3 linked regions of the Callithrix jacchus genome follow. The protein of the gene in region 1 binds, or shares a complex with, the protein of each later gene. Links are inferred from orthologs where the notes say so. Each region holds a gene or a part of one and is shown in the gene's direction. Other genes may lie near its edges.

Evidence for each region. Proteins that work in one complex are often made in the same cells at the same time.
Region 2: ARPC1B (region 1) and ARPC2 share a complex: the UniProt entries of both Homo sapiens proteins name them as parts of the arp2/3 complex. The link is inferred for Callithrix jacchus from reciprocal best matches to the Homo sapiens genes ARPC1B and ARPC2.
Region 3: the proteins of ARPC1B (region 1) and ARPC4 are in contact, whole or in part, in a cryo-EM structure (PDB 6YW6), measured with the Homo sapiens proteins. The link is inferred for Callithrix jacchus from reciprocal best matches to the Homo sapiens genes ARPC1B and ARPC4. Residues at the interface, in NP_005711.1 of Homo sapiens: Glu9, Pro10, Asn28, Gln54, Thr72, Arg74, Asn96, Arg97, Ala98, Arg100, Ser143, Thr144, Cys162, Trp204, His206, Leu245, Pro246, His263, Ala319, Gly320, Lys326, Asn327, Ser328, Met350; in NP_005709.1 of Homo sapiens: Gln17, Cys21, Leu22, Glu23, Asn24, Phe25, Ser26, Ser27, Gln28, Val29, Glu31, Arg32, Glu45, Leu46, Leu48, Glu124, Gln125, Tyr127, Lys128, His129.

Annotation. Positions count from the first base shown.
Region 1 is NC_133503.1:14,185,820-14,193,660, reverse strand, and holds the end of ARPC1B (actin-related protein 2/3 complex subunit 1B), read left to right. Parts: intron 1-124; coding exon 125-232; intron 233-1,650; coding exon 1,651-1,857; intron 1,858-1,934; coding exon 1,935-2,010; intron 2,011-3,838; coding exon 3,839-4,044; intron 4,045-5,023; coding exon 5,024-5,114; intron 5,115-5,442; coding exon 5,443-5,481; 3' UTR 5,482-5,778; downstream 5,779-7,841. Other genes in the region: PDAP1 (28 kDa heat- and acid-stable phosphoprotein), read right to left, coding at 7,545-7,603. UniProt on the Homo sapiens protein: Component of the Arp2/3 complex, a multiprotein complex that mediates actin polymerization upon stimulation by nucleation-promoting factor (NPF).
Region 2 is NC_133507.1:139,990,300-139,996,691, forward strand, and holds part of ARPC2 (actin-related protein 2/3 complex subunit 2), read left to right. Parts: intron 1-2,541; coding exon 2,542-2,642; intron 2,643-2,977; coding exon 2,978-3,078; intron 3,079-6,159; coding exon 6,160-6,184; 3' UTR 6,185-6,392. UniProt on the Homo sapiens protein: Actin-binding component of the Arp2/3 complex, a multiprotein complex that mediates actin polymerization upon stimulation by nucleation-promoting factor (NPF).
Region 3 is NC_133516.1:66,961,982-66,969,118, forward strand, and holds part of ARPC4 (actin-related protein 2/3 complex subunit 4), read left to right. Parts: intron 1-1,674; coding exon 1,675-1,786; intron 1,787-2,946; coding exon 2,947-3,042; intron 3,043-4,520; coding exon 4,521-4,691; intron 4,692-7,137. UniProt on the Homo sapiens protein: Actin-binding component of the Arp2/3 complex, a multiprotein complex that mediates actin polymerization upon stimulation by nucleation-promoting factor (NPF).

The DNA of each region.
Region 1 (7,841 bases):
TTGCCTCCCTCCTGGGTCTTCGGTGGCTGCAGGGAGCAGTGGGTGCCTGGAGTCCCTGGTGCTGAGGTCCGTGAGTCCCACCTGCCTGTCCCTCTCTCCTTGTCTGCCTGACCGCTGTGCCCAGGTGGGTTTGCAAGCACATCAAGAAGCCCATCCGCTCCACCGTCCTCAGCCTGGACTGGCACCCCAACAATGTGCTGCTGGCTGCTGGCTCCTGCGACTTCAAGTGCCGGTGAGACAGGGCACCATGGGGGAGGGCGGGGCTGATGTCAGCTGACTGCCGAAATCACAGCAGGGATTGGGGGGTTGGGGGACCTCCACCTGAAAGTTCTACACCTCACCTTCTAGACCTCCTCCAGAGCTGCTATCAGTGGATGACCTGGGCATCAGTTGAAGGTTCTAGTCCCTGGGGAACCCTTCATGTCTCAGCAGGACGTGCCCCCGCCCACCTGTTTTATTTTTTTGAGATAGGGACTTGCTCCATTGCCCAGACTGGAATGCAGTGGTGTAGTCATAGCTCACTGCAGCCTCCAAATCCTGGGCTCAAGTGATCCTCTTGCCTCTCATCTTCCCAAGCAAGACTACCATGCTCAGCTAGATGGGCTTTTTTTTTTTTTTTGAGACAGAGTCTTCGCTCATTAGCCCAGGCTGGGGTGTGGTGGTGCCATCTCTACTCACTGCAGCCTTTGTCTCCTGAGTTCAAGTGGTTCTCCAGCCTCAGCCTCCGGAATAGCTGGGACTACAGGTGCATACTACCATGCCTGGCTGATTTTTGTATTTTTAGTACAGATGGGATTTCACCATGTTGGCCAGGCTGGTCTCAAACTCCTGACCTCGGGTGATCCGCCCACCTCGGCCTCACAAAGTGCTGGGATTACAGGCTTGAGCCACCACCCCTGGCTGACAGGATCTTGCTGTGTTGGCCAGGGTAGTCTTGAACTTCGGCCCTTGCCACCACTTAATGCCAGAAAAGTTCTTCCCAGGGCCTTCTCTCCTGACTCACGAGAACTTCCTACCCCTATAGTTTCCTGGCTTCAGTCTGAAGGAAAATGAGTTGGTGTGCTTATTCATACCAAGGTATAAATGACTGAAGCTGAAACAAACCCTGCTTCATTGTTTTAAGGCCTGAAACAGAGTCTCCAGCTGCCATTCACTGTTTTTATTTTTTTTTTGAGACAAGGTCTTGCTCTGTCACCCAGGCTGGAATACAGTGGGGCAATGACAGCTCACTGCAGCCTCGACCTCCTAGTCTCAAGCAATCCTCCTATCTCAACTTTGAAAGTAGCTGGGACTATAGGCACAACCACTATGCCCGGGTAGGTGCTTTTATTCTTAGTAGCAATGGGGTCTCACTATGTTGCCCAGGTTGGTCTTGAACTCTCGGCCTCAAGAAATCCTCCCACCTTAGCCTCCTAACAGTGTTGGGATTACAGGCATGAGCCACTGCGCCCAGCCACCTGTTAACCCTTTAAAAATATATTTTTTTAAATTTTGAGTCAGTCTCTGTGGCCCAAACTGGAATGCAGTAGTACAATCACAGCTCACTACAGCCTTAACCTCCTGGGTTCAAGTGATCCTCCCGCCTCAGCCTCTTGAGTAGCTGAGACTACAGGTGTGCACCACTTTACCCTTTTTTGCCTCTCCTGATAGGATCTTTTCAGCCTACATCAAGGAGGTGGAGGAGCGGCCGGCACCCACCCCATGGGGCTCTAAGATGCCCTTTGGGGAGCTGATGTTTGAGTCCAGCAGTAGCTGCGGCTGGGTACATGGCGTCTGCTTCTCAGCCAGTGGGAGCCGCGTGGCCTGGGTGAGCCATGACAGCACCTTGTGCCTGGCTGATGCCGAGAAGAAGATGGCGTGAGTAGAGGCCATCCCTGGGGAGGAGGTGAGTGCAGAGGAGTGGGACAGCATGGCTGACAGCTCTCTCCCCTCAGCGTCGCGACCCTGGCCTCTGAAACACTGCCGCTGCTGGCGCTGACCTTCATCACAGACAACAGCCTGGTGGCAGCGGTAAGGAATGGGGAGGGAAGGAGGGGGGGGTGTGGTCAGAACTTTGTGGTAGGCTTCGCAAAGAGCCCAGCAACTCTCACTCATCTCTTCCCTCCTTTCTCCTGTCTCCCGCCTTTTTTTCTTCCTTGCATTCTTGGGTTATGCTGCAGTAACCGAAAGACCCTGGCTGCAGTTGCTTAACAGAATAAAGATTTGGCCAGGGCCGAGCGTGGTGGCTCACACCTGTAATCCAAGCACTTTGGAGGCCAAGGCGGGCGGATCACCTGAGGTCGGGAGTTCAAGACCAGCCTGACCAACACGGTGAAACCCCATCTTAAAAAAAAAAAAAGATGCCGGGCGCGGTGGCTCAAGCCTGTAATCCCAGCACTTTGGGAGGTCGAGGCAGGTGGATCACAAGGTCAAGAGATCCAGACCATCCTGGTCAACATGGTGAAACCCCGTCTCTACTAAAAATACAAAAAATTAGGTGGGCATGGTGGTGTGTGCCTATAATCCCAGCTACTCAGGAGGCTGAGGCAGGAGAATTGCCTGAACCCAGGAGGCGGAGGTTGTGGTGAGCCGAGATCGCGCCATTGCACTCCAGCCTGGGTAACAAGAGTGAAACTCCATCTCAAAAAAAAAAAAAAAACAAAAAAAGATTTGGCCAGGTATGGTGGCTCATGCTTAAAATCCCAGGTTAAGGTGGAAGTATCACTTCCACCTTATGAGGCCATGAGTTTGAGACAACACCGTGAGACCCTTGTCTCTGCAAAAAGTTAAGAAATTAGCTGGGTGTGGTGGTGTACCTGTAATCTCATAATCCCAGTTACTTAGGAGACTGAGGCAGGTGGATCACTTGAGCCTGGGAGGTTGAGGCTTCTGAAGTGAGCTATGTTCATGCCACTGCACTTCAGCCTGGGCAACAGAGAATCTGTCTCAAAAAAAAAAAAAAATCCAGGCTTGGTGGCTCATGCCTGTAATCCTAGCATTTTTGGAGGCTGAGGAGGGCAGATCACTTGAGGTCAGGAGTTCAAGACCAGCCTGGCCAACAAAGCAAAACCCTATCTCTAATAAATATACAAAAATTAGCCAGGCATGGTGGCGGACACTTGTAACCCCAGCCAGCTACGGGGGAGGCTAAGGCAGGAGAACTGCCTGAACCCAGAGGCAGGGGTTGTAGTGAGCCAAGATCCTGCCACTGCACTCCAGCCTGGGCCACAGAGATTCCATCCCCCTCCACCCCCCTCCCCGCCAAAAAAAAAAAAAAGAGATTTACTTCTTGCTCACATTATATGTCCAGTGTGGGTGTTGTGAGGGGCTCTGATGGAGGCTGTCCCCAGCATGCTGCCCCAGATGCCATGAGGCAGCTGGAACCTGGGGGATAATGCCCTGGGTCCTAACATTTCTGCCCATATTTTATTGGCTAGTGCAATGGCAAGGCCACGCCTAATGCAAAGGCAGGAGTTCAGGGCATGCAGTTCCTCCAGGTGTCCGGGAAGGGCGCTGCTCTCCCTCTCCTCTCCCCACATCTATTAAGTCCCTTTTCACCCCTCGGCAAACATATGGGGGTGCCAGGGGCAGGTTAGGCCTGATTTTTGCCTTAAAGAGCAACCAGCTGCAGGGATCTCCCTTAGAGCAGGTGTAACTACCCAGGCCGGACAGAAGGCGCCTGGGTCCCCAGGAGTCCCAACGCTGGCCTTGCTGAGGGAGGGGGCAGCCTGCAGCATCGCCTCCGGTGTTGATACACCTGCCATTAGGGCCTCCGGAGCCGCCAGACGTCCTCTTGGCCTCCCCTCCGGCCTCGGTTTTCCCTCGGCGGCGCTCCAATGGCACCCCCGCCCCCTCGCAGGGCCATGACTGCTTCCCGGTGCTGTTCACCTACGACGCCGCTGCGGGGACGCTGAGCTTCGGCGGGCGGCTGGATGTGCCCAAGCAGAGCTCACAGCGTGGCTTGACGGCCCGCGAGCGCTTCCAGAACCTTGACAAGAAGGCGAACTCCGAGGGCAGCACGGCCGCAGGCTCGGGCCTGGACTCGCTGCACAAGAATAGCGTCAGGTGAGGGCGGGGGCGGGGCCTTGATTTGCCCGAGGGTAGGCGTGGCTTCTCACTGCTGCTGGGGGGGTAGGCGTGGGGTGAGGGGCGAGGCCGATAACTGCATAGGGTGGGAGCCAATAGATGGGGCGTGGCCTCGCAGCAGAAGAAGTTGTGGGCGGGACCGTCTCCATCTAACCCTAGCAGCACTGGGGCTAGTGGACCCAAGAGGGACGCATTGGGACCCGACATGAAAGGTGGGGTCGACCTCTTCAGGTTGAACAAAAATAGTATCCGATAGGGGCCAAGCAGCCTAGCTTTGCATTTCTGGGACATGGCTGGGTGGGATCTGTAGTAGGGCTGGCCAGGCAGTGACGGGGGTGGGGAGGGTGGCCTTCCTGGACGGGGTCACAGCTGCGACAAGTCTATTGCTAGAACCCAGCGAGGTGGGGGTGAAGCTGAGAGTCTCCTGCAGCCTTCCAAGGCTCTAGGGTGGGCGGGGGGGCGGGAAAGAGGCTCTCCAAAGCACAAGAGCTGCAAGCCACGTGTGTCCACTCGGAAGCAAATCAGAGGAAGCTGTATGGCAAGACTTTGGTCAAGCCCTTCAGCCTGTAAACCCACCTCTGGCCGCCAGATCAGATGGCTTCCTCAGACGAAACACCTTTGCCTGGCTGTTAGCCCCTGGGTGCTCCCACCCCCATCTCTTTTGTCCTGTCCACCTGTGTTGCTGGCACTGTATACTCCATAGACACATCCTTCCTGCCTCCCAGGACTTTGAGTGTCCTGTCCCATTTGCCTGCACCCCGCACACCACTGCTCGTCTCCAAAGCAGACCTGACTCCTAAGCCCACTTTACTGCCCAGGCTGTCCCTGGCTGTCACACCTCCTCTCGGCACTTCTCACTGGAGCCCGCTCCCCTAGAAGTCTGGAAGCTCCTGGTGGACAGGGTGGGCCTTAGCCTGGTGCACAGGTTGGATTCATAAGCTCCTCTTCCTCTTTGCAGCCAGATCTCGGTGCTCAGCGGGGGCAAGGCCAAGTGCTCACAGTTTTGCACCACTGGCATGGACGGTGGCATGAGTATCTGGGATGTGAAGGTGAGGCTTCCCCCTCCTGGCTTCCTGCCATGCCCCAGGTCAGCTCTTTCCCCCCATCCTCCCTCCCTGGAGATGACCCCCATCCTTCATTCCTGCAGAGAAGGCACTGCATGGGGATGAGAGGTGGAGGCGGCCTCTTTACATCTGGGCCTTGGTGCTCACTGGGGCACCCATCTTCAGGGCCGAGATTCAAACCCATGTCTGACAGACTCAAAGTCCAGGTTCTCTGCCCTCTGCTGTTCTGGGGCTGATGTGTGATCAGGTCCCTGGGGTGGGGAGTGCCTGTAGGACAATTGAGAACCAGCCTGTCCTTTCTGCCTCCCTGCAGAGCTTGGAGTCAGCCTTGAAGGACCTCAAGATCAAATGACCTGTGCGGAATGTCTTCATCCCAGCTGCTGGGGAAGCAGGGTGAAGGGTCAGGGAGGCTACTGGTTGCTTTGCTGAATGTTTCTGGGGTACTGGTATGCGTTCCCACAGGGGCTGCTCCCTCAAAAAGGGAGGGGACAGATGGGAAGCTTTTCTTACCTATTCAAGGAATATGTGCCTTTTTCTTAAAGAAATGCTTTCATTTATTGGAAAAAAAAAATTCCCCCAAAGCACTGTGCTGGTCATGAACTGCTTCAAAATGTGGAGGTAATAAAATGCAACTGTGTCAAAAAACAAAGCAATTGTGGATCTTATTGACTACCCTGTCTCAGAGCCACAGGGGCATCAGGGACCTTACCACAGCCCTCACCTTCTTGCGCCTTCCTCCATCTCATTTTCATGGCTGTACACTTGAACCTGGGCAGCAGCTACAAGATTTCCAGGGCAGAGGAGGTGGCTTTGGTAATACCTTTGAGGTGATTCCTGCTCCTTGGGGGTCAGCATTGGAAGTTTTCTTCAGCAGGCCAAGGGCTTGGAGGTCAGGGTGAGGCAGATACTCACAGCTGTGGGATCCCCCAGGGCTCCTGGTGCTGTCGACTCCAACACGGTCAAGCACACAAGTGTGGTGGGGGTTGCTGGGAGGGCTCTATACTAAATAATTTTGGCTCTGAGACGGTAGTCATAAGGTAGGTGTCTTGTGACACGTTCTTGAAGGAGGAGTTCCGTGGCTGGCCTGAGGCCATGTTTAGTGAAGTTTCCTCTGTGTGCCTAAGACAGTCCTCCTCTTGCCCTACCTTAAGGTGGGGGGCTGCCCAAAACGAGAAAGAGTAGCTCTACTCCTACCTGGCACCCAGTTACATCAATAGAGCCCCTCGCCCCTTGGAACCATGCACACAAAATACTGCTGTTCACAGGGTACAGGGGCAGACAGGTGCTATGGGGTCACCTTTCACTGGCCTGAATCCACAGGCAGGCCACTCCTAAACCTCAGTTTCCCCACTATCAGTCTCCGTCACAGAGGATTGAGAGAAGTGCTGCCAGTGCTGGGTACCAGCTCTTGGGTGGCTTCCTCTGGTACAGAACTCCTGAGGCTATTACCCCCAGGGGACACCTGCAGGCCAGGCCGGGATCCTGGTGCTGCTTCAGCCTGCTGTGGCCTGGAAGGGTCTCTGGCTGCTGAGGCCCAAGATCCCGACTTGGCTAAGGAAGGCAGGGGCAGGCTGTGGCAGCTAAGGTCTCTCCCAGCCCTGATCCTGGGGTCCAGTCCCTGCACCGTGCTCAGTGCTGCCTGACAAATGTCATGCCTCAGGTAAATACCTGTCCTGAACCTTGCCAGGTGCATGTGCCTTAGCATGACACCATATCCTGCTGCATAAAAATGGCTTGGGCACAGGAGCCAAAGGATGGATTACAAAACAAAGATTACGATAATGTCAAGTTTAATCTGCCAAATATACAAGTTGAATTTGTGGAGCGTGTTTTGCCTGGGTGCTGCACAGTAAACAGGTTTCTTGAAATGATCAATGGGTAGGGTTAAAATGGGCACTGGCCCTGGCCAGGTGGGTAGGAACTGGGTGGAGAGGGCAGACAGGACAGACAAGCCATGACCCTTAAGGACCCAGTGGCACAGGCTCCCAGATGACAGCCCCTCTTTGAATGAGCACCCAGGCAACACAGTCCGGGGCTGGTTGTAGCAAACCCATCAGCAGATGCCTCCTGGCATGACCACCCCCGTCCGTGCTATCTACCAGACAAAGGAAAGCTCTTCATACCCCATCTCCCAGGCACCCCCCAACAAGGGCTCTGAATTCTAAAAACAGCGAAAACATTCAAATGGTTACATACGAAATGCTGTCCTGCATCTTTCTGTCTCAAAGATAGCAGCTTGCCCCTCCCCCAGCCCCCCCATCTCCCCAAACAATTGCTGTGCCAAGATGAAGAGGAGGCCCCAGGCTGTGGGGGACTCCTGGCCGTGAGGGGCTGTTGCAGCGGTGCCAGGGCACAGGGTAGGTGAGACACAGCAGAGGTCCCGGCAGCGTGGCCCAGGTCCTCGGCATCTTGCATTTACTTATTCAGGGAGAGTGACTGCATTCTTTTTCCCGACAGTGTGGCATCATCTTTTGCTGAGGGGTGGGAGGAGAAGGGCAGGGGTTAGAACAAAGCAACCCCCTACTCCCAACACATGTGCCAGAACCCTAGACCTTTAGGTCTGAAGGGCCACAGAAAATGTTCTGAGCAACAAAGAAGGGACCCAGGAAGGGCCGAGGTGCAGGAGACGATTTCTGCTGCAGCTATGGCCCCAGGCCCCAGACATTCCCGACATGTTTCAGTGGCCAGGAGCACCTTATGCAACGCTGTCCC
Region 2 (6,392 bases), on another chromosome or scaffold:
TCCCTTGACCCAGGAGGCAGAGGTTGCAGTGAACCAAGATCACACCATTGCACTCCAACCTGGGTGACAGAGTGAGACCTTGTCTCAAAAAGAAAAAAAAAAGAGTTAGGGATAGGCCAGGCACAGTGGCTCACGCTTATAACACCAGTGCTTTGGGAGGCCGAAGCTGGTGGAATGCTTGAGTCCAGGAGTTTGGGACCAGCCTGGGCAACATGGCACAACCTCATCTCTACCTGTAATCCCAGCACTTCGGGAGGCCAAGGCAGGCAGATCACTTGATGTCAGGAGTTGGAGACCAATCTGGCTAACATGGTGAAACCATGTCTCTACTAAAAATACAAAAATTAGTTGGACATGGTGGCATGTGCCTGTAGTCCCAGCCCCTCGGCCAGCTGAGGCGTGAGAATTGCTTGAATCTGGGAGGCAGAGGTTGCAGTGAGCCGAGATCATCCTGCTGTACTCCATCCTGGGCAACAAAGGGAGACTGTCTCAAAAAAAAAAAGATAGCTAGGCATGGTAGTGCATGCCTGTAAGTCACAGCTACTTGGAGGCTGAGGTGGGAGGATCACTTGAACCCAGGAGGTCAAGGCTGCAATGAGCTGTGATTGCATCACTGCACTCCAGCCTGGGTGACAGAGCAAGACCCTGTCTCACAAAAAGGAGTTAAGAAGAGAACCACCTAAGCAGCCAGATGGAAGTTCTCTGTCATTTGGCACTTCTTAGGTTTTTTTGCTTATTAAACCCAGGCTCCAGCCATGATGCACAGACTCCACTTTTTCATGGAAGAAATTCAAGTCTTCTTCAGTTGCTCCAGCCTCATGCACTAGCTGATTATGATAGCTCACAGTTTGGAGTTAACACTGTGTTCATACTGCACCTGATGCCACTGGAATGCCTCCTTTTGTGAAATGTAATTTAATTTACCTTACTAGTAAAGGTGAACCTGCTTATCTTTAAGAATAAACCAAATGTGTTGTTCTACCAAATTTCATTAAATCTGAATTGTACACTTTTCTTTCTCTCTGTCACCCAGGCTGGAGCGCAGTGGTGTGATCTTGGCTCACCACGACCTCCACTTCCCAGGCTCAAACAATTCTCGTGCCTCAGCTTCACTAGTAGCTGATACTACAGGCACATGCCACCACACTGGGCTGATTTTTGTATTTTTAGTAGCAACGGGGCTTTGCCATGTTGGCCAGGCTGATCTCAGCCACTTCGACCTCCCAAAGTGCTGGGATTACAGGCGTGTGCCACCATGCCTAGCCAGCTATAAATTTTTTTTTTCAAGATTTTATCTTTGAATCTGGGATGCATCTTACAACTCATGGCATGTCATAGTTTGATTGGCAGCATTTTTCTCTCGTACATAAAATTACGGCAGACTTATAGTCATAAGCACCTTAGATTCTTTGAAATACAGTTATCTTCTATTGTGGTATTCATTTACTTTCAGGTCAGGGCAAGTTGACACAGAAAATCCATACATCCCTAGGAGGCATTCCTTTTCATTTCAACAAAAACATCAGAGAACCTCAGGGTTTTGCAGATAGTGAGTAGGGGAAGTTCAGCAGATAAAGAAGATTCCAAAAAACCAGGGCAGGAGGGGCATGCAGGTCTGCTCCAGTGCAAAGGACCGAGTAATGACCACACAGGTCTTTTTTCTTTTTCTTTTGTGAGATGGAGTCTTGCACTGTCACCCAGGCTGGAGTGCAGTGATGCGATCTCAACTCACTCACTGCAACCTCTGCCTCCCGGATTCAGGCAATTCTCTCGCCTCAGCCTCCTGAGTAGCTGGGATTACGGGGAGACACCATCATCCCTGGATAATTTTTTTATTTTTAGTAGATATGGGGTTTCACCATGTTCCCCAGGCTGGTCTTGGACTCCTGACCTCAGATGATTTCCCCGCGTCAGCCTCCCAAAGTGCTGGGATTACAGGCATGAGCCACCGAGTCCAGCCTCACACAGGTCTTTAGGTGGCTGGTGCCACAGGGTGGACTTCACTCAGGTCCAGTCAGAGCAGCTCTTCCTACCTGGCCTATCAAGAGGGTTCAGGTGCTGGTTTTCACAGTGAGACTATGGGAAATACTCTGGCATCTTATTTTCTGTGAAGGTTTACTCTATTTCAGCACCACGGACCTAAGACGGGCAGCTGCATTTCCTAATCCTGATTCCTTAAGGTAAACTGTTATAGCCAGTTAGTGTGATTCTGGAGTATGCCCAACTGCAGAGGCAGGAGCTATAGTACATGTGCGGGAGACCAGGAATGGATTTCAAAATTCATAGCTGCAGAATCCAGACCTAGAATGGAGGCTCAGGGTCAAGCCCTGTTTTTCCATGGGCTCCTCTGTTCACACTCATTGACACCTCTCCTGGTCATGCTGTGTATCCTTCCGTGCCTCAAAAAAACAACCCTGACACAGCCTGATAATACTGACATGAGTGGAGTGTACTTCAGAGAGAGAGCGAAGTTCACTAGGCTGTTGTTCCTCCTCACCCTTTGACATTTGTGTTCTGAAGCCTTGTGTTCTCCACCTTCAGTGCTATTCCCTCGCCACACCAATGCCAGTGCTCGAGACAACACCATCAACCTGATCCACACATTCCGGGACTACCTGCACTACCACATCAAGTGCTCTAAGGTGAGGGCGGGCAGCATCTCAGCGTCTGTGCCCTGGGTCTTTCCCTCCACCAGAACTCATAACAAAAAGTCATTCCGTTAGTCTAGGCTGTGAATATTGACTCTTAGGTAGATAGTTCTAGAAGCTTCAAGAAATCATGGCCTCTCTTCATCAAGCCACTGTCCCCCTCCCCTCCCCATAGCAGAGATGACTATGTTTCCAGAATTGCTCACCTTCCTGCTTCCCTGCAGGGGAGTATTCCCAAGGTGTCTGTTCTCAGATGCCCCTGATGAAAGCAAAGCTGTCTTTCTAGACCATGACTGCGCTTCAGTACCTTCTTTTGTGTTTGTTCCCAGGCCTATATTCACACACGTATGCGGGCAAAAACATCTGACTTCCTCAAGGTGCTGAACCGCGCACGCCCAGATGCCGAGAAAAAAGAAATGAAAACAATCACGTAAGTTAGCCAGTACCCCAGCAGGACCGTCTTCTCCTGAGCCACCGAGAAGGAAGCAGTGGATGCTGGTGGCCTGGTCCTCCACGTGTCCGGGCACTGGCTACATGTGAGGCCAGCAGGGCTAAGCAGATAGACCAAAGGTGGGATTCCAGGTTTTTGCTGCCATATGGGCCAGGGTGGGTTTCCTTGTTTCCACATTTTTGTGAGCTCTGAGAATGACAGCTAGGAAATAAAGTTTACAAAGAAACTGTTACTTTTGGGCCTGAGTTCTGAGGTCAGTCTTGTCCTTCTTGTGGTCTTTCTGGAGAAATGGAATAAGTTGCTTAGGGACCTTTAATTGGGTAAATAGGGCTGAAACCACCCCACTAAGCGCTCTGTTGCCCAGGCTAGAGTACAGTGGTGCTATCTCAGCTCACTGCAACCTCTGCCTCTGGGTTCAAGCAGTTCTCCTGCCTCAGCATCCCAAGTAGCTGGGATTACAGGTATACACAGCCACACCCAGCTAATACTTTGTATTTTAGTAGAGATGGTTTCACCATGTTGCCCAGGCTGGTCTCGAACTCCTGAGCTCAGGCAATCTGCCTGCCTTGGCTTCCCAAAGTGCTGGGATTATAGGCATGAGCCACCGCACCTGGCCCATGTGCTGTCCTTTGTACCAGTTGAACTAAAAGTCTTGAAGTCATAAGCCTCCCTAACAACCAATGTGTTTGCCAACAGCCCAGTACTTTTTTGAGATGAAGTTTTGCTCTTGGTATACTGGCTGGAGTGCAAAGGCATGATTTTAGTTCGCTGCAGCCTCTGCCTCCTGGGTTGTCTTGCCTCAGCTTCCCAAGTAGCTGGGACTACAGGCACTTGCCACTATGCCAAGCTAACTTTTTTGTATTTTTAGTAGAGATGGAGTTTCACCATTTTGGCCAAGCTGGTCTCAAACTCTTGACCTCATGATCCACCGACCTTGGCCTCCCAAAGTGCTGGGATTACAGGCGTGAGCCAGCACGCCCAGCCCAGTATTCTTTTTTTTTTTTTAAGACAGAGTCTCACTCTGATCCCCAGGCTGCAGTGCAGTGGTGAACCACTGGGGTGCAAGTAATCTTTCACCCCAGCCCCCCCAAGTAGCTGAGACCACACGTATGCACCATCATAGCTGGCTAATTTTTGAAATTTGTAGAGACGGAATTTCGCCATGTTGTCCAGGCTAGTCTCGAACTCCTGGGCTCAGGTGATCCTCCTACCTCAGACTCCCAAAGTGTTGGGATAACAGACATGAGCCACTGCACCTGGCCCAGCACTCTTGAGGCAAACTTTTAGAGGGTGTGGCGTGCCCAGGGCTTTACACTCCCTCTCTTGCATTGAGGGCTCTTCTACCAAGTTAGTTTCTGCTGCCATTTAAAAGGATGAGAGAGATCCCAAGGGCCTGAGCAGTAGGGGAGGGTTTTCAGACATTTGCAAAAAGCAGGTTAAGTCACCCCTGACTTTTAGCAAAGGCCTGTCTCTGTAGCAGCTCAGAGAGGAGTGTCCAAATACCATGTAAAGAAATGGCAGCGTTGTTTATTTTCTGCAGCTTCTTAGGCAGATCCTTAAATGGACAAAGCGACCAACGAGGTGGGTGGGCAGGTGAGAGGATGTTTTCTTGCTGCTCCTCCAGAACCTGGTCTCCATCCTGGTGTCTCCATTTTCCCCTTTCCCTGCCTGCTCTACACAGGGGTGCTTTTCTCACCAGGTACCTATTTCATGACCTGGAGGGTGAGGCAACGAATTTCAAGCTGCTTTCTGGGCCCAGTAGATGGGCAGTTCCGTAGAGGCCAAGAGGTATACCAGCAGCCAGTTACAGTGAAAAGAAAGCCTGACCTGGCAGCCTGTGATTACCAGACTGAAGGCTAGGCGTCCTCATAGCCTTAGGCCTGCCTGCATCACTTTTGGCGCTGGTAGCTGCTTGTGCATCCAGGAGGAAGGCCTATCAGGCAGCTGCCACCCTATTCCACAGCCAGCGGGTAGTCTTGGGAGTCCCTGCCCAGTGAGTGCAGTTGTGTAGGTGCAGGGATAGCTCCCTGTCCTGATGAGAGACCTGGCAGAGGATGAATCCTTGAAATAAACAGTTCATCAACCTCCTCTCTGGGACTTAGAAAGAGCAACTTTGCCTTCTGTGCTGCAACTTCTCTTTGGCAGAGTTGGGCCCTAGAAAGGAGAAGCAGGAGACAAACAACTGCATCCACCCTAAAAACCAGATTATGTTACTAATGGTGGGTAGGAGTTAAGTGACTCAGCTGTGGGCAGATGCCAGGAGCCCTCGATGGTCCGCCCAGAATTGAATACTCATGAGCTTTTCATTTTGAGCGAAGGGTAAATAAGATGTAGCTTCATTTTAGAGTGAGCAATACATCCAAGACAGGGAAAATGGAGAGCCCTTGTTTTCGCCCTGATTTCCCATAGTTCTCAGCTCTAGCTTCCAGGCTACTTTCCCAGATACTGTTAGAAACAGTTACAGGCTCTGTCCTTGTGAACCAGCTAGCCAGTCTGGAGAAATAGTAGCTGGAACAGGACACCACAATTCAGGAGCCTCGAACCAGGCAAGTGTTTTGTAAGCCAGAGGAGGAGTCACCACATAACAAATGCCTTTAACCATGGAAGTTCTGAGGATTGCTTTGAACCACCTGTCCTCATAGTGACAGATGAAGGAACTGCTGTCTGAGAGCCCTGAAAGGTAGAAGCTCTGTAGGAGGAGCTGACAAATGAGGTAGTACTAAGAAGACAGATGAGCCCAGTCGGAAATTCAGTACATGTAGGCCATCCCAAAATTGTGAACAGGTGATTCTTCTGTCTAACTTGGTATTTGAATGTCCTTATGAACTTAACACTAATACTCCTGGGCGTCCAGAGTATCCGATGGGAAGGAAGAGCTGGTGAAATCATTCTTTGAAAGCCGAATTTTAGCCCATGCCCTGTGGTTCCAGTGCCTCTACTTAGGAAATCTAGCCCTTTCCACCTCTTGTTTGGTGTCTCTTTGAGATCCCATCTAGTCTAGGACTGTGGGGTGGGAGGAAAGGGCAGCCAGAAACTGACTTCACACTTCTCCTTTTGAAGGGGGAAGACGTTTTCATCCCGCTAATCTTGGGAATAAGAGGAGGAAGCGGCTGGCAACTGAAGGCTGGAACACTTGCTACTGGATAATCGTAGCTTTTAATGTTGCACCTCTTCAGGTTCCCAAGGGATTCTCCGTTTTGGTTCCATTTTGTACACGTTTGGAAAATAATCTGCAGAAACGAGCTGTGCTTGCAAGGACTTCATAGTTCCCAAGAATTTAAAAAAAAAAAAAA
Region 3 (7,137 bases), on another chromosome or scaffold:
GCAGATCGCTTGAGTCCTGGAGTTCAAGATCAGCCTGGGCAATATGGCAAGACTCCATCTCCACCAAAAAAAATACACAAAAATAGTCAGGTTTGGTGGTGCATGCCTGCAGACCCACCTTCTTGGGAGGCTGAGGTGGGAGGATCTCTTGAGCCTGGGAGGTAGAGGTTGCAGTGAGCCAACATTGTGACAGTGCACTCCAGCGTGGGTGAGACCTTATCTCAAAAAATAAGTAAATAAAATTCAATCTGGTACATACATAACTGAGATAAACTGGGTTACTGCATTAAGTGATAACATTTAATTTTGAATTTTAAAAATAACTGATAAGATGTTATATTTGCTTAATGTTCATGATTTCCAGTGGGCCTTTGAAAATGATACCAGTTTAGACACACCACACCACAATTAATTACTGTTACAGATCTCTAGGTATTTGGAGACATTACCTTGGAACCTGAACTCGTAGGGGTCTTGAAGGCCTAGTCTGTTCGGTTCACTGTGGTGTCTTAAGAGCTTCACACCCTCAGTGCTACTTGGCTTCTTGGGAGCTGGAATAGGGGATCAGTGGGTTTGGTGTGACAGATTTTGATCTTCTCTGCCCTTTGTGTTATTTCCTATAGACTGCCACTCTCCGCCCCTAGAGGCAAAAAAAAATAATCATTTCTGGATTGATAATTAAAGGAAGCCAAACTGTGTTCAGTTTTAGTCTTTCCCTACTTCTAAGACAGGTATTCTCTCTGCATTTCTAAATGGTATATTGATTTGCCTGTATAAGTTGAGTATCCCTTAAGCAAAATGCTTAGGACCGGAGGTATTTTGGATTGTGGAATATTTGCAGATACTTAACCAGTTGAGCATTCCTAATTCCAAATCCAAATGCTCCAGTGAGCATCTCCTTTGAGCATCTTGTCAGCACTCAGAAACTTTCAGATTTTTTTTTTTTTGAGATAGAGTCGTATTCTGTCGCTCAAGCTGGAGTAAAGTGGTGTAATCTTGGCTCATTGCAGCTGCCACCTCCTGAGTTCAAGCAATTCTTGTGCCTCAGCCTCCTGAGAAGCTGGGGTTATAGGGGTGTGCCACCACACCTGGCTAATTTTTATGTTTTTAGTAGAGATGGGATTTCACCATGTTGGCCAGGCTGGTCTCAAACCCCTGACCTCAAGTGATCCACCTGCCTCAGCCTCCCAAAGTGCTGGAGTTACAGGGATGAGCTACTGTGCCCAGCCAGTTTCAGATTTTGGATTTCAGATTTACAGATTGGGGATATTTAACTTGTAGTTACTAAAATCAGCTGTCCTTTGTAAAGCTCCTACTATGTGCCAGGCACGCTATTAGATACCTGACCCTTTTTTGATCTCTCTCAGTCCTTGCCAATGAAATAGGAATCAGAGTCATTTTACAGATGAGAAAATTGAGATTCCAACAGGGTAACTTGCCCAGGAAAGTAACAGAGGAGGCTGGATTTCAAAACCTTTTCGCTCTGACTTCAGAGCCTGTGCTCTTTCTGCTGAAGAACACACTCACTGGTCCCCATCTTGGAGCACTTCTGCTTGTGAGTCTTCTATTCCTTGGACTCCATGGTGTCATAGTGATTCCAGGACTTGCTGTGGGGTCACTCTGACTGTTGTGTCCCTCTATAGTACAGAGTACTCTGTGACATTGTGTTTTCAGGAGTAGCAAAGAACTCCTGTTACAACCTGTGACCATCAGCAGGAATGAGAAGGAAAAGGTTCTGATTGAGGGCTCCATCAACTCTGTCCGGGTCAGCATTGCTGTGAAACAGGTAAGGTCACCTTGTAAGAGACGTAACATAAGGACCTCACTTTCAATCCAGGGGTCCCCATCTGAGAGATCAGCGTGCCACATTCAGATGGAGGCTCACTCTTGTTGCCTAGGCTGGAGTGCAGTGGCAAGATCTTGGCTCACTGCAACTTCTGCCTCCCAGGTTCAAGCAATTCTCCTGCCTCAGCCTCCTGAGTAGCTGGGATTATAGGCGCCCACCAACATGTCCATCTAATTTTTGTATTTTTAGTAGAGATGGGGTTTCACCATGTTGGTCAGGATGGACTCAATCTCCTGACCGCAGGAGATCTGCCTGCCTCAGCCTCCCAAAGTGCTGGGATTACAGGCATGAATCACCATGCCCAGCCAGTAGTGGGCAACTCTAAATTGTCAACAGGATAAAAACAAAACAGCATTATTAAATGCAGACTACATACTGTGTTCTACAGAAAGTTCTAACCCTGGGGCCTGCTTTCTTTGTTAGAATGGGAGATTAACAAGTGTTGGGAGGTGTTAAGGCATACTAGCAACCAGCTGCAGAAGTCTTTCTTTACAAATGTTGAGCGTTCAGGGCCGGGTACGGTGGCACGTGCCTGTAATCCCAGCTACTTGGGAGGTTGAGGCACAAGAATCACTTGGACCTGGGAGGTGGAGGTTGCAGTGGGCTGAGATTGTGCCACTGCACTCCAGCCTGGGCAACAGAGGGAGACTCCATCTCAAAAAAAAAAAAAAAAGAAATGTTGAGAGTTCAGAAGGGAGAAACTTCAGAGATTGTTGGATGTTCAGTGTTATAAAGCAGAGACCACCTAAAGTTATCTCTGATAGCCCAGGTGGTGCTGCGACACACCCTGGGAAATGTAACACTAGTGAAGTGGGAATGAGAAGGGCAGCTTGGCGTATCGCTGTAGACTCGTAAAGAAGCCATAAAAGACTCTGTTTGCCAGAATTACCTCTCTGGAATGGGTCCTCATTAAGAGATGCCCCAAGATAGACCCTTGTTTCAGTTGGCAGCCAGGTCCCTCACTTCAGTGATCCTTCCGAGTACCAAACCTCACTGTCTCCTGGGAGCTTTGGAGAAATTGGAGTCAGAAGACCAGGCTACAGGGTATTTTTGGCTTGGGTGTCGGCTTTAGAGAAATGTTTCTCCCTTTTATTTCCCAGGCCGATGAGATTGAGAAGATTTTATGCCACAAATTCATGCGCTTCATGATGATGCGAGCAGAAAACTTCTTCATCCTTCGAAGAAAGCCTGTGGAGGTGAGACCTTGTGACCCATGAATTTGCAATACCCAGGATCCTGCTACAGAATGGCCTGGAATTGTTTCTAGAACCTGGATTGCTGCTCTTCCAGCTGTTTGGCACCACCGCCTGAACTGAGAGTTGGCCTTCATCTCAGCTGGAGTGGGAACCAAGAGGATCAGAAGCCTAGGAAAAGTTGGGTCTACCTCAGCCATACAAAAGGCAAAAAAGGACCAGGAGTGGTGGCTCATGCCTGTAATCCCAACACTTTGGGAGGCCGAGGAGGGTGGATCATGAGGTCAGGAGTTCAAGACCAGCCTGGCCAAGATGGTGCCATCCCATCTATACTAAAAATATAAAAATAAGCCCAGTGTGATGGCGGGCACCTGTAATTCCAGCTACTCGGGAGGCTGAGGCAGAGAATTGCTTCAACCCGGGAAGCAGAAGTTACAGTGAGCCGAGATTGTGCCACTGCACGCAGCCTGGGTGACAGAGTGAGACTCCATCTAAAAAAAGAAAAAGGAAAAGGCAAAAAATATAAGATACATTGCTTATTCCCAGAGCCTACAGTCTAGCAGCAGAAAGAGCACAGTGATTTTGTTGTTGTTATTGTCGTTGGAGTTTTGCTCTTGTTGCCCAGGCTGGAGTACAATGATGTGATCTCGACTCACTGAAACCTCTGCCTCCCAGGTTCAAACCATTTCTCCTGCCTCAGCCTCCTGAGTAGCTACCATGTGCTACCGTGCCTGGTTAATTTTGTAATTTTAGTAGAGATGGGGTTTCATCATGTTGGTCAGGCTGGTCTCGTGACCTCAGGTGATCCACCCATCTCGGCCTCCTAAAGTGAATCATAGTCTCTTAAAGCCACAGTTAACACTGGGTCAGTTGTTGCCTGACTTTGTACTTGACCCTCCTCCACAGACTCCTTACCAACTTAACTTAAAGCATCCCCACAACTACCACACAGCAGGATATGCCATCATCAGATACATCAGGCATGTTGGCCAAGTTCTTCCTCATCCTGAGCCAAATTTTTCTCTCCCGGTCCTAGATCTAACCTCTTTGGCCACCTGGAGTAAATAAAATTCCTCTTCCTCACATACGCCTCCAGCAGAAAAAATACCTTAATCCCACTCATCTTCCACATCATCTCTTTTCTGGACTAAATGTTCCCTGTTGTTTGATTAGATTCTTCTGTAACAAGACTTCAAGTGCCTTGACTCATTCTGAATGTAGAGTTGTTTGTGCCACAGATAGTCTTCCAGAGATGTCTGATACACACAGAATTCTCAACTGGATTGAGTTGCTTGGATCCAACCTACACGCCCTTCCCCAGAGCAGGTGGGCTGCTGACTGGAAGGGTGTGTAGCTTGGGAGAAGATCACAGCCAGTGAGAAACATGTGAATGAGTGGAGGACATGACCAGCTCACTTCCCCTGGGGTGCTAATTCTCTCCTGTTCCTTCCCTTCTTCCTCCCTGCTGTCTTCTTTCCTAGGGGTATGACATCAGCTTTCTGATCACCAACTTCCACACAGAGCAGATGTACAAACACAAGTTGGTGGACTTTGTGATCCACTTCATGGAGGAGATTGACAAGGAGATCAGTGAAATGAAGCTGTCAGTCAATGCCCGTGCCCGCATTGTGGCTGAGGAGTTCCTTAAGAATGTGAGTATAGGCTTTTCTGCTTTCCTTCCAGAGGCTGAAGGATCTGGAGTCATGTTGAGAACTTAGCACCTGGTGGGAAAGGGGTGCTAGCAGTGTGTTTATATCTTTGGAACCCCTAGAACACAGCAGGTTGCTCAGGTGCTTTGGAGCTAGAAGGCCCCAGGTTCATCTCTGAGCGCTACAGGCATTTTCTGTATTTTTGGGTGTCTAGGATGTCTCTTAGTCTCTTGTAGGAACTTGGACACTCATTTCTATATCTCAGGATGTTCATAAAGTCCTTACCTCTATCTAGTTCAAACCCTAAGTGAGGCAAGTGAAGTCTGCATGTGAATTTTCCCGGAATATAGGACAGTTAATCATGGTATAATTCCACTTCTCAAATAGACATCAGTACTTTCCTTAGCGTCTGTTTCTTAGGCTTAAAGTCATGATTCCTTCAACCTGTTTTCCATCACTTGCATGGCCTAAGTCCTCCAGATTCCTCTTATATTGTTTATGCCTTTCTAATCGAAAGGACTGTAGTCATATGAAGAGGTGGAATTATTTACATTGGTAACTGATGACATAGTTCTTAGTTGTTTAGATATTCAAGACATGCCTTCTTTTTTTTTCTACTTTTCTAAACAATCTTTGGTTTGTTGGCATGTTCTACCCAGAGTGGCTGTGATCTCTAGGCAGTAGACTTAGTGTGTACTCTCACCAGTGAGTGCACACCCAGTCCAGAAGGAGCTCAGATTGCTAAAAATGGAAATTATACCTGCTTCCCCTGGGATTTAATTATACTCAGGGTGGCCAGCATACAAAGTAGCTGTGCTGTGCACACAGATCAGCGTGGTTGTTGAGCTCAGTCAGCTGTGGAGGCCGACAACCTGTGTGTGAAACCAGGTTCCACCGCCTACTTAGGCATGTCACTGAATTCTCAACTAAGCCTCAGTTTCCTCAGCTGTGAAATGAGGATTTGGTAGTTAATACATGTCTTTCAGAGTGGTTGAGCATTAAATGAGACCATATGTGTAAAATGTAGCACCTGGTACATAGTAAGCTTTCCATGTATTGCAGTATCAAAATTTTATGTCCAGGGTACTAGGAGGCCTCTAGATTGAACTGGAAGGGGAAAATAGCTCTTGTTCCAATTGAATCTTTGGCTCACTCATTCAATAATCATTTACTTATTTGTGACAATTACATTTCATAGAATTAGACACCTAAAAAAGCATGTTCACATGTCCCATTTATTACTCAAAACAATTTTTTTTTTTTTTTTTGAGATGGAGTTTTGCTCTTGTTACCCAGGCTGGAGTGCAATGGCACGATCTCGGCTCACCGCAACCTCCACTTCCCGGGTTCAGGCAATTCTCCTGCCTCAGCCTCCCGAGTAGCTGGGATTACAGGCACGCACCACCATGCCCAGCTAATTTTTTGTATTTTTTAGTAGAGACGGGGTTTCACCATGTTGACCAGGATGGTCTCTATCTCTTGACCTCGTGATCCACCCGCCTCAGCCTCCCAAAGTGCTGGGATTACAGGCTTGAACCACCACACCCGGCCTCAAAACAATTTTTGAGTCAGCTATTATCACCATTTTAGAGATCAGTAAACTGGGACTCTGGAATTAAAAGCAACTGTCCAAGGTCCCTCAGCCAGTAAGAGGAGGAACCAGAACATGGAACTGGGTTGTCTGACTCAGAGATCTAAGATAGTACCATAACCTATCTTAGATCTTAGATGTGTCAGGGGTCACAAATCAGGTGCATGCAAAGGTCGGGTGGCTGTGGAGTGGGCTAAGTATGGAGTATGGAGAGGGCAGGGTGAGGAGCTGCTGAGCACATGCCTCATCTGCAGGGGCTGGCTCCCACACAGCTCCAGCCCATTGAGCCCCCAGATTTGGATTTGTATATGGTGTCTCCCATGTTTTCAAGGTTAGCAACTAATTCATATAAATACCACGTGGGCCATACAGTACTCATCTTTGGAATAGTTGCAGGCATGGGCATTGGTTCACAACCTTTGGTCTCTAAAATGTCCAGGACTGTCTTAGGCAGCATGGGGGACCCTTGAGGGCAGAAAATATTTCAAGGGCCAGATCATCCAGAGCTTGACACAAAAGTACCAGAACCTGGATCCTTCTGCACTTGGCCCTCTAAGTCCCAAAGCCCCTTGCATGTGAGCCCCCATGCCTAAAGAAAGCAACCTCAGTTCACCAAGCAAGATGCTGGCAGGGCTTTCTAGCAGCTTCCATGCCAGGGCACAAGGGAGCTGTGGAGAAGCTGTCATGGCTGTTACTTTTTTTGCTGCCTTATCTAGTGCTAGGCTTAGGGCCAGTGCCCATATGTCACTTCTGAAAGCTGACTGAATTAGAGCAAGACCATGAGGTGTCCCGGGACCCAACTCTGCCCCTTAGATCTGAGCACAGTGGCAGCTCTCAGGTTCATGCATTTCTTTAAAG